3 linked regions of the Macaca mulatta genome follow. The protein of the gene in region 1 interacts with the protein of each later gene in a biochemical or structural test. Links are inferred from orthologs where the notes say so. Each region holds a gene or a part of one and is shown in the gene's direction. Other genes may lie near its edges. The genes, in order: MARCHF6, UBE2J2 and UBE2G2.

Region 1 (4,281 bases):
AGACAGGAGTTCGAAATCATACTGGTCAACATAGTGAGACTGCAGTGAGCCACTATCGCACCACTGCATTCCTGCCTGGGTGACGATGCGAGACCTCTTCTCAAAAAAAGAAAAAAAAAACATAAGCAAACAACAACAAAAAACAAATTTAAAGAATGGCTGTCTGCTTAATCATCAGGGCCAGCCCCTGAAATCAGTGGGTCCCTATTATGTAGAGTTCTTTCCTGCCTTGAGTAACATGAGTGACATCAGTAAACATTAGTCAAGCGCTGCTCTTTTTGAAAAACTGTATTTCATTATTTTTATTCTAAACCTTATTCTATTTGATGAAGATTGCGGGAGGGGCCCTCCCAATTTCACCACTCACACATAACAGCGGTTGCTAGCATTCTTTATTTGTGCTAGGTCATCTGCATATTGTTTAAACATTTTTCGAGGCTGGAAAGACTGCTCCCGCTCAGGCAATTCTGACTTGGCGGCCCTTCTAATTTGTATTCTCTAAATAATTCTTCATTTAGAGAAACAGTCAAGGATTACAGTGAGGGAGGGTGACGTGCTGATGGGGACAGAGCTTGGCCTAGGACCGTTCTTCCCTTAGCTCTGCGCAGGCAAGCGTCCCTAACTCGGTATCCGAACAGATCTCCCTTAAAGGAGGATTATGTTTCAACCCCCAGCCTCAGCGGTTTACTCAAATAGTCCTTCCAGCCAAATGCAGAAGTCTCCCTGGGAGTAATTTTGGTGAAGTCAGCGTTTGCCTTTTTCATCACAGTGAGGCTTTAGTAGTTCCTCAAAACGTGCACCACAACGGCCCGGGTGCCAAACAGAAATGCTGACGCCTGGGCCCACTCTAGCCATTCGGCCTCGGCATCGCGGTGCGGGAGCGTGGAGCGCAGACTCGCATTGTCACAGGCACCTCCCGGCCTCCCGAAGAGCCCCGCGCCGTAGCCTTTGTCTCGCACGTCGGCTGGGGCGGGCGCTAGGTTCTCGCGGCCTCTTCCCACTGCTCTGCGCCCCTCCAGAAGCGGTCACCAAAGCTCAGCTACTGATTAGGTTTCGGCCCCGCTGTCCGGCGCATTCTCGGCGACTACCCCAGGTGGCCCAGAGCACGCGGTGATTCACCGCACCCCCGAAAAAGGTCCTTCCCCGCCTTAGCCTACAACCGAGCGTGCGCACCGCGGCCGCCGGAAGTGACACTGTCTGTCGTTGGGGAGCTCCCGCCCCTTCCGCCTCGGCGCCCCGCCCAGGCCTCGCCCCTAGGTGTTCCCGCCCCTCCCCCTCCCTTGTGGTTCGCTTTCTGTCAGCCTCTCTCCCTCTCCCTCTCCCCTCTCCTTCCTCTCGCTTCCTCTCTCGCACCTGAGCGCACGCACCTGCCCGGGCCCGGCTCCCTCCTCCTCCTCCCCGCCCTCTTTCCCCGCCCGGCCGCGGGAGCTCGTGGCTGCGTCACCGCCACCCCCCCAGACAAGATGGACACCGCGGAGGAAGGTAAGTCGGCGACGCGCGGCGCCCGAGCCCTTGCGTCGGCTCCCGGGTTCGTGCCCCGGCCAGGTCCGCGGCGCTCGAGGTGGGCGGCTGGAGCGCGGCAGGGCGGGCGCCTGGGCCGTTTGCCCACCCGCGGGGCCTCTGGTCCGGGGAGCGGAAGGTGACCCTCGGCGCGCCCCCAGCCGTTTCCCGCCCGCGCCGCCGAGGGGGGCGGGGACCCTGCCGGGCCGGGCCCGGGTCCTGGGGCGTCGTGGCTGCTCCGGGCCGGCGTGGCCTCCCTCGTCCCCGCCGTCGCGCGCTGGCCCAGAAGAGGGGGCCGCTGTCGCTGCCGCTGCCGTCCGGGGGCGTTTTCCGCACCCTTCCCCCACTGGGTTTTGTCTTTCTTTACGTCCTTCTGCCTATTGCTCGCCAGGCCCTACCCCCTCGCCACAGAACTTCTTTGTTGACTTTGAAACTTCGCGAAAAATACCCCGCCAGGTGACTGCCGAGTGGAGTGAGCTGACCCCTATTGAAAAGCCCGGTCCTCGGCTAGCCTGCAGCTCGAGAATCTGTTTACTAAACGGAGGGGGGGCTCTTTTGTTGCGATCCATTTGGTTTTAAATCCTTGACACCTATAAGCAGGGTTCTCTTGGTTTTGTTTTGCGATTGCCTGTTGGATACGGTTACTTTGAACAAACTGACCCTTCTACAATGAATACCTAAGATGTAAACGTCCACACCTTATGTCTCTTCAAGCGCATTTTCTTACCCACTGAAGGTAGTAAATTATTTTTAACCAGCTGTGTTTTTAAATGAGTGGTGAGTTTATAGAGGAAATTACTAAATTATTCTGCCTTTTTTGATGTTCCGGTTATCGGTGCAAATGCTTTTCTACTTTAGGTATATTTATGGGGGGTATAAGCGTCTTTCAACCTTATAGGTTGTGATTTTGGCAATTTTAAATGAAAATGAATTATCAGACGCCGTCATGGGGTGCAGTAATGAGTGAAAAAAGTTTGATAATATCTCTGTAATGAGTTGATAACGACTTATTTTTTTAAAAGAAGTCTTGCCTTTAATAAAAACCTCAACTATAACATGTGGCACTTGCTGTACATTCGCGTTTGATCTTCCCAAAAGGCCTGTGGAATAGGTAGGTATTATCTTTTATAGATGTTGAAATGTAGGCTTCGTTGTTTTAATAGCTTGTCGAAGCTTTACACAGGTAGTAAGAGACAGATTTGAATGTAGGCATTCTGATTGCAAATAATTTCCCTTTCATTATGCCACAGTATGTTTATTATATACACTGAGTGTAGCTAATCGCCACTGGAGACGCCTTTGGAAAAAATAGTAAAGCGAAACTGCTGAAGGTTGGGAACTATTTCTTTTTGACAGGTGGTCCTTTGTGTAAAATTTCCATCTATGTAGGTTTCACATCCTTTCAGATTCAAGTTTTAATGAATAAATCTACTAAGGCATGCATTTATCACAGGATAAGTACGGACGTATTATATTCAATTCTCATTCTTTTGGCCTGGGCATTGCTACTTGCATACTTTTATGGTGTGACAGTAACCTATGGTAATTCAGGAATTGCGCTCGAAGCACGTATGGAATCATGAAATATTTTCATTGTACTTCTAGTGCTTAAATATATTTTTTCTCTTGTAAAATTATAATCAGGATAAGGTATACATGACATTTATTTGTTGAACACTGTTCTCTGTTAAAATAACATGTGCTGAAGACTCAACGGGTAGAATATGCTTTACTAAACACTTTATATACATTTCATTTAATTCTGTCAACATCGTTAAGTAGGCGGCATTTTCATTTTACAGATGAGGGAACTGATGGTTAGTATGATTAAGTAACTTGTCCAAGATTATACAGGTAGTAAATGGCAGAGGCACGATTCAAGCTCATGTCTGTCAGACTCTGCACTTAAATTAGATATTTATTTATAAGTGGATACTAAATGTCCAATGTTGGAATTTATTTTTGTCACTCCCTCTATAGGATGGATCATTTTTATAATTTGGCGAAAATTTTATTTTGCTTTATTTTATGAAATTAGTAGTCATGAAATGCAAGTGAATTTTAGTGCTGTATTCTCATGCCTGCTTTTGCAAAATTCCAATTTGGAAGTCTTCTGACATTTTTACGATAAAATTTAAGTTGAAATAACACTTAAAGGAAAAGGGAGGGTTATAGAGGATTAAAAATAATAGAGTGAAGATGCCAAAAAACTAATAAATGTTCTATTTGCGAAATCAGTTATTATAGATTATTTCTTTAAAAAATGCAACTTAGGTTTTTAAAATCTGTTATTTTTTGGTAGGAGATATTCAAAATATGGCCAAACATAAAACTAAATTGAAAAAAAATCAGTATCACCTACTTTTGAAAACACTAATGCTGTTGTGGTTCTGTTTTTTATTTATTTTTTTTGTTTTCTGAGACGGAGTCTTGCTCTGTCGCCCAGGCTGGAGTGCAGTGGTGTGATGTCAGCTCACTGCAACCTCCACTTCCTGGGTTCAAGCAATTCTTCTGTCTCAGACTCCTGAGTAACTGGGATTACAGGAGCGTGCCACCTCTCCCTGCTAATTTTTGTATTTTTAGTAGAGATGGGGTTTTGCCATGTTGGCCAGACTGATCTCGAACTCCTGACCTCAGGTGATCTGCCTGCCTCAGCCTCCCAAAATGCTGGAATTATGGGCATAAGCCACCGTTCCTGGCCGGTTCTCTGCCCTTTAAAAATATATTTTAATATTCCACGCAAAGAGATTAAGAATAATGTTACAAAAACACCAACCATGC
Region 2 (4,162 bases), on another chromosome or scaffold:
GCCATGCTCCTGAGCAGGATCCTCTGAGCTGAGCCTCACTGCCACCTTCCCACCTGCAGAGTCCCCAAAGGTGCGCTCTCATCACACACTACTGAAGGACAAACAAGGCAGGGCGGGCCTCCATCTGCCACGGGCCACAGCCGTGAGCGTGCAAGCGAGTGGACGTGCTGGTGCCTGTATCTGCGGCCGGTGTGGCTTCCCTTACATAACTTTCCATGCTGTAAAACCAGCTCGGCCCGCCCTGCCTGGGAACGGCAGAGGCCTGAGAGGAGGCAGAGGAAGGAGGCTGGATGCTGAGCTGTTTTCCAAAGGTGGTGCCTGTGACGTCAGGAATGGAGGCAGGCTGGATTCCCACGGGCTGAGGCTGTGTGGACATTCCTCCTGGCTTCTGCCCCAGGAGCTGCAGCAGCGTCTCAGACCCCCACCAAGGTGTCTCGGAGGGGCAGAGTCAGGCTGAGCATGGACACAGACTGCCCTCTGCCCGTAGCCACAGCGGGACCCACCCTCAGTGTTCAGCCACCTTGCTGACCTGTGGTTGTCTCTGAGAGGCCATCAGGGTTGGGGCAAAGGACAGGGCCACAGGCAGCCAGGTGGCGAGGTCCACCTCCCAATCCCCCACCAGGGGACCACCCTCAGCTCCCCGCTGTCCTTAGCTGCCTCTCGGGGAGGCGGTGGGTTGTGTGCCTGCCCTTAGCGTCCCACCCCAGCGCCCGGCCACCTACAGCTCCCTCCCAATGTGTCTGGGGTCAGAGAGAGGTGGAAAGGACGCAGCGCCCCGCGCTTTCTAAAGTCTGTCCAGAGGGAGGTCGGGGCGTCCCGGCACTGGGCCAGGCACCTGCAGGGGGAGGGTGCTGGGGCGGGGGCGTCCCGGGGCTGGGAAGGCTCCCGCAGGAGAGGGTGCTGGGGCGCGGACGTGGGTTGCAAAGCGATCCCACGCGTGTCACTCTCGGGTCCCTGAACGAGCCAGGCCTCCAGGCGCCCGGGACGCTCCACGCCGGGGCCGCGCCGCGCCGCGCCTCCCCTAAGGGCCGGGCAGGGTGTGGGAGCGGAGGACAAGGCGGGAGGGTCGGGGTCCTTTCTCCACCGGGGTCGCCCTCAGCCGGGCCTGCCGCCCTGGGCCGTGGCACGTGGGGACGTAAGCGCGCGGCTTCGGGGTCCGGGGCTTTCGCGCCCACTAACGGTGCCCGCAGCCGCCCGCCAGTGCGCACGCGCCGACCGCCCCGCCCTCCCCCGACCGGCGCCGGCGGCGACAGAGAGTCGTGGGCGCGGTCCTCCAGGCTGCCTAGAGCGGCGCCCCGCCCCCCAGGGAACGCGCACCGGAAGCAGAAACTAGGCTGGTTCCGCCCCGCGAGCGGCCATCTTGGAGGTTGAGGCGGCGGCGGCCCTGCGACGGGTTCGGTGGGCCCAGTCCCGGCGCGGTGTGGCTGTTTCGGGCGCGGGCCCCGCTTTTCCGCACCCTGCTCCGGCCTCGACCACGGCGAGCCTGAGCGCGGCGGCGGCCCACGCGCAGCGACAGGGAGAGGTGAGCGCGCTCGCTGGCCTGCGCCGGGTCCTCGGGCCCGCTCGACCGCCCCGCCGGAGCCGGCCACAGCGGCGGCCCGGGGCTGCGGGGGACCCTGCGCGACGCTTCTCCGTTCGCGCCCGCCGCCCGCGGGGCCCTGGCCCGAGCCTGCGCGGAACCCGAGGTCGGTTACGGCGGGCTCCCGGAGCTCCGGGTCAGGGTCAGGTCGGGGACTTGACCACTAGGCCGGGTCTCCCGTCCGTTGGGACACTTGCGGCTGCCCCAGGACGGGCAGCCTCGATCCTGGTTTGTCAATGGATCCCGGGAGTCTGTGTCGGGGGAGGGCTGCCGTTGAGCCCGCCGCCGCCTCGCCCTGAACTGTTAGACCCCACACTGCCCCGAGAGGCACGAGAGAAACGAGCGTGCCCGGGACGGTGCTCGGGGCCAGCGTTTCTGGGAAGCCCGGGCGGTGACAGTGGGAGACCGGAGTCTGGCTCCACCGCCGGCCGGCGGGAGTAAGACACGAGCCCGGAACAAGTCCCTGAGCTGCGCCGGGCCTCGCCGTCCACACCTGCCAATTCCCTGCACCCTCTCAGCCCCTGGCTAGGTGTCACCTCCTGGCCTCCTTTTCAATGCTTGCCACTTAGTGCGTGTGTATTTAACTCAAGTCCGGTTGCCACCCTCTTGCCAGACCCAGATAGGAAGCGGCTGAAAGGTCGGGCCTCAGCCCGGTGGGAGGGCAGCGAGGAGCGTACAGCAGGCTTGGCTGGGGCAGGTCGGTGGCCCCGCGTCCTGCCCCAGGGGAAACAGACGGTGTAATCTGGCTTCCGAAGAAGTGAGTATCTCGCTTAATCCAAAAGTCCAGCACCTGAGCCTAGGGCGTGGTTGGGTCTGGGTGCCCGGAACTCACAGTCCGTCATCTGCTCGGCCTGGCACCGCTGACCTCCTTAGCAGCTCCGCTCTAGGCAGGTACATGTGTGAGTGACAGGCAGGTGAGCCAGGCAGGTGCATGTGTGCGTTACAGGTGAGTGTCCCACCTCCATCGGCCCGGGCTTCCATCCAGCCTTCGGAGCAGTCTGGTGGAGAAGGCAGAGACTTCCGTGGCAGTCCTGGACCTGGGCGTGCCACGCGCCTGGCAGATGGGTCAGGCCAAGGTTTCCTGCCACATCCCTAAGCAGGAAAGAGCTGTCCAGACAAAGAGGGATGGGTGAGAGCTGCTGGGCAGCCACTGTCTCAGCGCCTGGGCACAGCTGCCCTCGGTGATTCACGCTGCTTTTATGCAGTTTCCGTGTAAACGTTTTTTTTCTGTACCTTTTTGTTTTAAAATCGCCAACTCTTTCTCTCAGCAGGATGATGTGCTTGGTGTCCCTTGTCTGTGGGGATGTTTGAAGGGAACCTGAGGCACATATGCTTCAAACTCTGTTCTCACAGTTTGCTTCCTTTGTGGATTTTTTTTTTTTTTTTTTTGGAGACAGGGTCTCTGTTTCCCTGGCTAGAGTGCAGTGGCATGATCTCAGTTCACTGCAGTGTCCGGCTCCGGAGTTCAAGTAATTCTCCCACCTCAGCCTCCAGAGTAGCTGGGATTACAGGTGCCCACCACCACACCCGGCTAATTTTTTTTTTTTTTTTTGAGATGGAGTTTCGCTCTTGTTGCCCGGGCTGGAGTGCAATGGCGTGATCTCAGCTCACCACAACCTCCACCTCCTGGATTCAAGCGATACTCCTGTCTCAGCCACCCGAGTAGCTGGGATTATAGGCATTTGCCAGCACACCTGACTAATTTTGTATTTTTAGTAGAGACAGGGTTTTACCATGTTGGTCAGGCTGGTCTCGAACTCCCGACCTCAGGTGATCCGCCCACCTCGGCCTCCCAAAGTGCTGGGATTACAGGTGTGAGCTACCATGCCCAGCCCCTTTGTGGATTTTTATTTTCCTTGTCCTTCCTGCTGTCATATTGGGAGGAGATGAATTGGGGGAAGTCGCCCCCTGGCGCCTTGGGGGACGTGAGAACGCTGTTCTGTGTGAAGCTCAGGAAGGGTGTCTGGGGAAACAGCAGTTGAATCGTGAACATGATTTTAAAAGCCTCTCCAAGCAAGTATGGGAGGGAAGCTTGCTTGTGACTGACTTGATGGAATCTATTTTATTTTTGCGTGGCTGTCCATGACCTTTCATTAAACCCGCAGCCTGGCCACTTAGCTAAGCCCAGACACACCTGTACCTGAATTGTCCAGTGAATTATTTTGTATATGGCAGAGTGTTAGCTTCAGGGTGAGCGTTTGAAAGGACGGCCTGTGTAGAGTGCTGCTTGGGGTCATCGCTGTGTCCATCACCAGGTGTTGGCCTGAGGGGAGATCCCTGGCCCATTGGCTTCTTGAGCCAGGAGCTGGGGATGCCACTGTGTGGAGCACTTCCTTCCCGGGCAGGACTAGAACCCCGTTCCTGGTGAGGGCCCTCCTGGGGAGGCACTCCTTAGGCAGAGGAGCCCGCCCTTGCCTCTGCTGGGGCCCGAAAGGGCCCTGCGTGGTGTGTGGGGTCACATGGAGGCCAGTGATGTGTGACAGAGTGGGAGGCATTTGGCAGGGAAATCAGGGAGGCCTCTGAAGGCGGTGGCCCGGAAGGGCCTAGGGGAGTTTCCAGTAGAGTCTAGGCTGGGAAGCAGCA
Region 3 (3,575 bases), on another chromosome or scaffold:
CATCTTGCCTTGAACTGTTGGTTAAGATAGTGTTAATTTATACTTGTTGGGTTTTAAACCTTAAGCAGGATTTCTGAAATGGTTTCATCTATTTCTTCCATTTACTTGTGAGGAAAGTATAGGTCCAGGGAGACTCACATGCCTGTGTCTGTGCCCATGACGGGGAGTTGTTCTAGTGTTGCATCAGTGGGATAAGGCATGACACGTGGTCCTGCAGTTGCGGCCTGGAGTGGTGGTACCTGTGTGCCTAGCCTTTCACCTAGCATGCAGCAGTGATCACATGTGCTCTTCATCTGCTTCTTGAAGGTTGCAAAGATGCCTTCTTGGGCACGTTTAAAAATTAAAAATCACCTTTAAAATACAACTCTTAGCCCCTTATCTGTTGAAATACAATGGAATCTTGCTATATCCTTTGCCGTAATTCATACCCTTATCCTAAAATGTGATTGTACCACATCTGCAGAAAAAGCTCCCAGATCTTAGAGCATTGACATGAGTTATTTTCTCTGATCCCCTAATTATCAAGAGGTTTTGCTGCTCAACTCTTAACCTTTATAAATGTGCAAACTGCCTGTAACTCAGTCTTTGTACTTGTACTTAAGATTTAGACCAGATTGAAATAGGAGAATGAGACATTGCTTTCAGTTGAGGAAAAAAGTACCAATTCATTGTCATTTAGATAATCTTTTCATGTGCATTTTTATTATTATTATTAATTTTTATTTTTGTTTATTTTTTGAGACAGAGTCTCGCTCTGTCACCCAGGCTTGAGTGCAGTGGTGCAGTCTTGGCTCACCACCTCCCAGGCTCAGACGATTCTCCTGCCTCAGCCTCCCTAGTAGCTGGGATTACAGGCATTCGCCACCACACCCAGCTAATTTTTGTATTTTTAGTAGAGACGGGTTTCACCATGTTGGCCAGGCTGGTCTCGAACTCCTGACCTCAGATGATCTGCCCGCCTCGGCCTCCCAAAGTGCTGGAATTACAGGCGTGAGGCACCGCGCCCGGCCTCATGTGCATTTTTAAAGTGGTAAAAATGTTCTTAACCCATTTCTCAGTTGTGGTCGATGTTGAAAAATGTACTTTGAAGTTCAGTCTACATATTTGATATCTTCTAGGGGCCCAGAAGACACCTGCTTTGAGTTTGGCGTTTTTCCTGCCATCCTGAGTTTCCCACTTGATTACCCGTTAAGTCCCCCAAAGATGAGATTTACCTGTGAGATGTTTCATCCTAACAGTAAGTGCTTTTGGAAGTAGTTTTTGTGGTACCAAGATAGGTGCAGAGATAATCTTATCAACCACTTGAAATGTGGTATATTCTATGTGTCTATGATGTAGATCTTTAGAAAACACTTCTTAGGTTTTGAAATTCAGCCAGGTAAGCATGGTGGTATTAAACACATGATTTCAATTTTGAAGGTCAGTTTAATGTAGATAAAAGAAAACTGGATGCCATTTGACCAGCCACCCTACTTCACTGGGGAGGAAGTTTTACTTGTGGGTGTGTGCTCAGAAGGGGTTATGCTAATCTTTGTCATAGTGTTATTTTTAATGGTGAAAATTTTGACTTAACCTGGGTTTTTAACACAAGAATAAATTAAGTTATATGTTGTATTAGTCTGTTCTCACGCTGTTAATAAAGACATATTCAAGACTGGGTAATTTATAAAGGAAAGAGATTTAATGGACTCAGAATTACACATGGCTGGGGAGACCTCACAATCATGGCAGAAGGCAAAGGAGAAGCAAAGGCACATCTTAGTGGTGGCAGGCAAGAGAGTGTGTGCAGGGAAACTGCTTTTTATAAAACCATCAGATCTCGTGAGACTTATGCACTATCACGAGAACAGCACGGGAAAGGTGTGCCTCCATGATTTAGTACCTCCCTCTGGGTCACTCCCATGACATGTGGGAATTATGGGAGCTACAATTCAAGATGAGATTTGGGTGGGGACACAGCCAAACCATATCGTATATGTTAGAATGTGATGTAGATTTTTAAAATGATCTAAAATAAGAATCAATAAAACAAAATAATATTTGTGTTATATTGACTGGGAAAAGCAGTAGGACTGTTGTAATTTCCTCTTGAAAAATAAATTTACATGTAAATGTATATATAATTGGAAAAGTAAGCACAAAAATGTTAAGTGATTCTTTTTTCAGATTGAAATTATTTTTTCCTTTTTATAAATCTTTTTTTGCCCTAAAATTAATATACATTACTTTTACAAGGAGGAAAAAAATAAGGTCATTTAAGTGAATTGTACTGTAGCTATTTGAAAATGTGTCCAGTAGTAGGAATTGGAATTCCTGAACAACTGTAGTTTTTATTTCTTCCTTTTACATTTGGGGATTATACGTAAGAGAATTAATAAGGAAATATGTTATATCTTCAATGATGTTATTTAGAATAATGTTTCTTATAAATGATTATTATTGCCGCTGATAATCACGATCTTAATAGCTATAGAGAAGAAAAGCAAATAAAGTATCCTATTTTGCAAAAATGAAATATTTATTTGAAACAAATTTCTTATTGTATGCATATCAAAGAGCATGAGAGAATTTATAGAATTTTCTGAGCCTCTGACTTCTCTCTGGGGTTAAAATGGAATCCCTTTGGTATACTTTCCCCTTGTCTACACCTGTCTAGGCAGAGCCCTACTCGAACTCCTCTTTGCCATAGGGGTTTTCAGGACTGTCCCCCGACGCCCCCGCCACTTCCCTCGTGGAAATGCCCTCTGCTGTTAGACTTGCTGTCCTAACCCTCATTAAGGACTTCTCATTTACTGCAGATATTGGTACGCATAGGTAGTGGGTGGCCGTCTGAGAAAGACCATCTGGTACTTCTTTTCTTGTCTCAGAGCTACTTCAGTCTTGTGTGCACAGGAGATGCTCAGAAGCCTGCCTTTCTTTCAGGGAGACTGGCCATGAGCCTGAGTTAAATGGTAACATGGAGGTTCATCATATGCTGTCTACTCAAGTGTGTTTTTGGAATTCTCCATAATAAAAAGTTAAAAAATAAAATTGATAGGTAAGAGTAATTGAAGTAGTCAGTTTCAAGTTGGTTGGCTGTAAAATGCAACTGTGAAGAGGATTGTAGGTAATTAAGATACTAAAATTGTATTGAGGATAAATATATTATTCAGAACAATACCTGTGATGTGGCATTAGTGACAAATATGACCAATAAACTGATTACATTATGTGACTATGTACTGCAGGTGGTCTGATTATTATTTTTAGTGTTCTAGTAATTATTATTATTATTTTTTTTTGAGACGGAGTCTTGCTCTGTCACCCAGGCTGGAGTGCGGTGGCCGGATCTCTGCTCACTGCAAGCTCCGCCTCCCGGGTTTACGCCATTCTCCTGGCTCAGCCTCCCGAGTAGCTGGGACTACAGGCGCTCGCCACCTCGCCCGGCTAGTTTTTTGTACTTTTTAGTAGAGACGGGGTTTCACCGTGTTAGCCAGGATGGTCTCGATCTCCTGACCTCGTGATCCGCCCGTCTCAGCCTCCCAAAGTGCTAGGATTACAGGCTTGAGCCACCGCGCCCGGCCTCTAGTAATTAT

The links.
Region 2: the proteins of MARCHF6 (region 1) and UBE2J2 form a complex in vitro, tested with the Homo sapiens proteins (2 studies listed by BioGRID, with this or other methods). The link is inferred for Macaca mulatta from reciprocal best matches to the Homo sapiens genes MARCHF6 and UBE2J2.
Region 3: the proteins of MARCHF6 (region 1) and UBE2G2 form a complex in vitro, tested with the Homo sapiens proteins (2 studies listed by BioGRID). The link is inferred for Macaca mulatta from reciprocal best matches to the Homo sapiens genes MARCHF6 and UBE2G2.

The regions. Positions count from the first base shown.
Region 1 is NC_133411.1:11,499,347-11,503,627, forward strand, and holds the start of MARCHF6 (E3 ubiquitin-protein ligase MARCHF6), read left to right. Parts: upstream 1-1,456; 5' UTR 1,457-1,463; coding exon 1,464-1,482; intron 1,483-1,682; exon of another isoform or gene 1,683-2,236; intron 2,237-4,281. UniProt on the Homo sapiens protein: Endoplasmic reticulum membrane-associated E3 ubiquitin ligase that plays a critical role in mitigating endoplasmic reticulum stress, the regulation of cholesterol and lipid homeostasis, and ferroptosis.
Region 2 is NC_133406.1:239,412,346-239,416,507, forward strand, and holds the start of UBE2J2 (ubiquitin-conjugating enzyme E2 J2), read left to right. Parts: upstream 1-1,342; 5' UTR 1,343-1,522; intron 1,523-2,192; exon of another isoform or gene 2,193-2,336; intron 2,337-4,162. UniProt on the Homo sapiens protein: Catalyzes the covalent attachment of ubiquitin to other proteins. Seems to function in the selective degradation of misfolded membrane proteins from the endoplasmic reticulum (ERAD).
Region 3 is NC_133408.1:2,750,099-2,753,673, forward strand, and holds part of UBE2G2 (ubiquitin-conjugating enzyme E2 G2), read left to right. Parts: intron 1-1,118; coding exon 1,119-1,237; intron 1,238-3,575. UniProt on the Homo sapiens protein: Accepts ubiquitin from the E1 complex and catalyzes its covalent attachment to other proteins. In vitro catalyzes 'Lys-48'-linked polyubiquitination. Involved in endoplasmic reticulum-associated degradation (ERAD).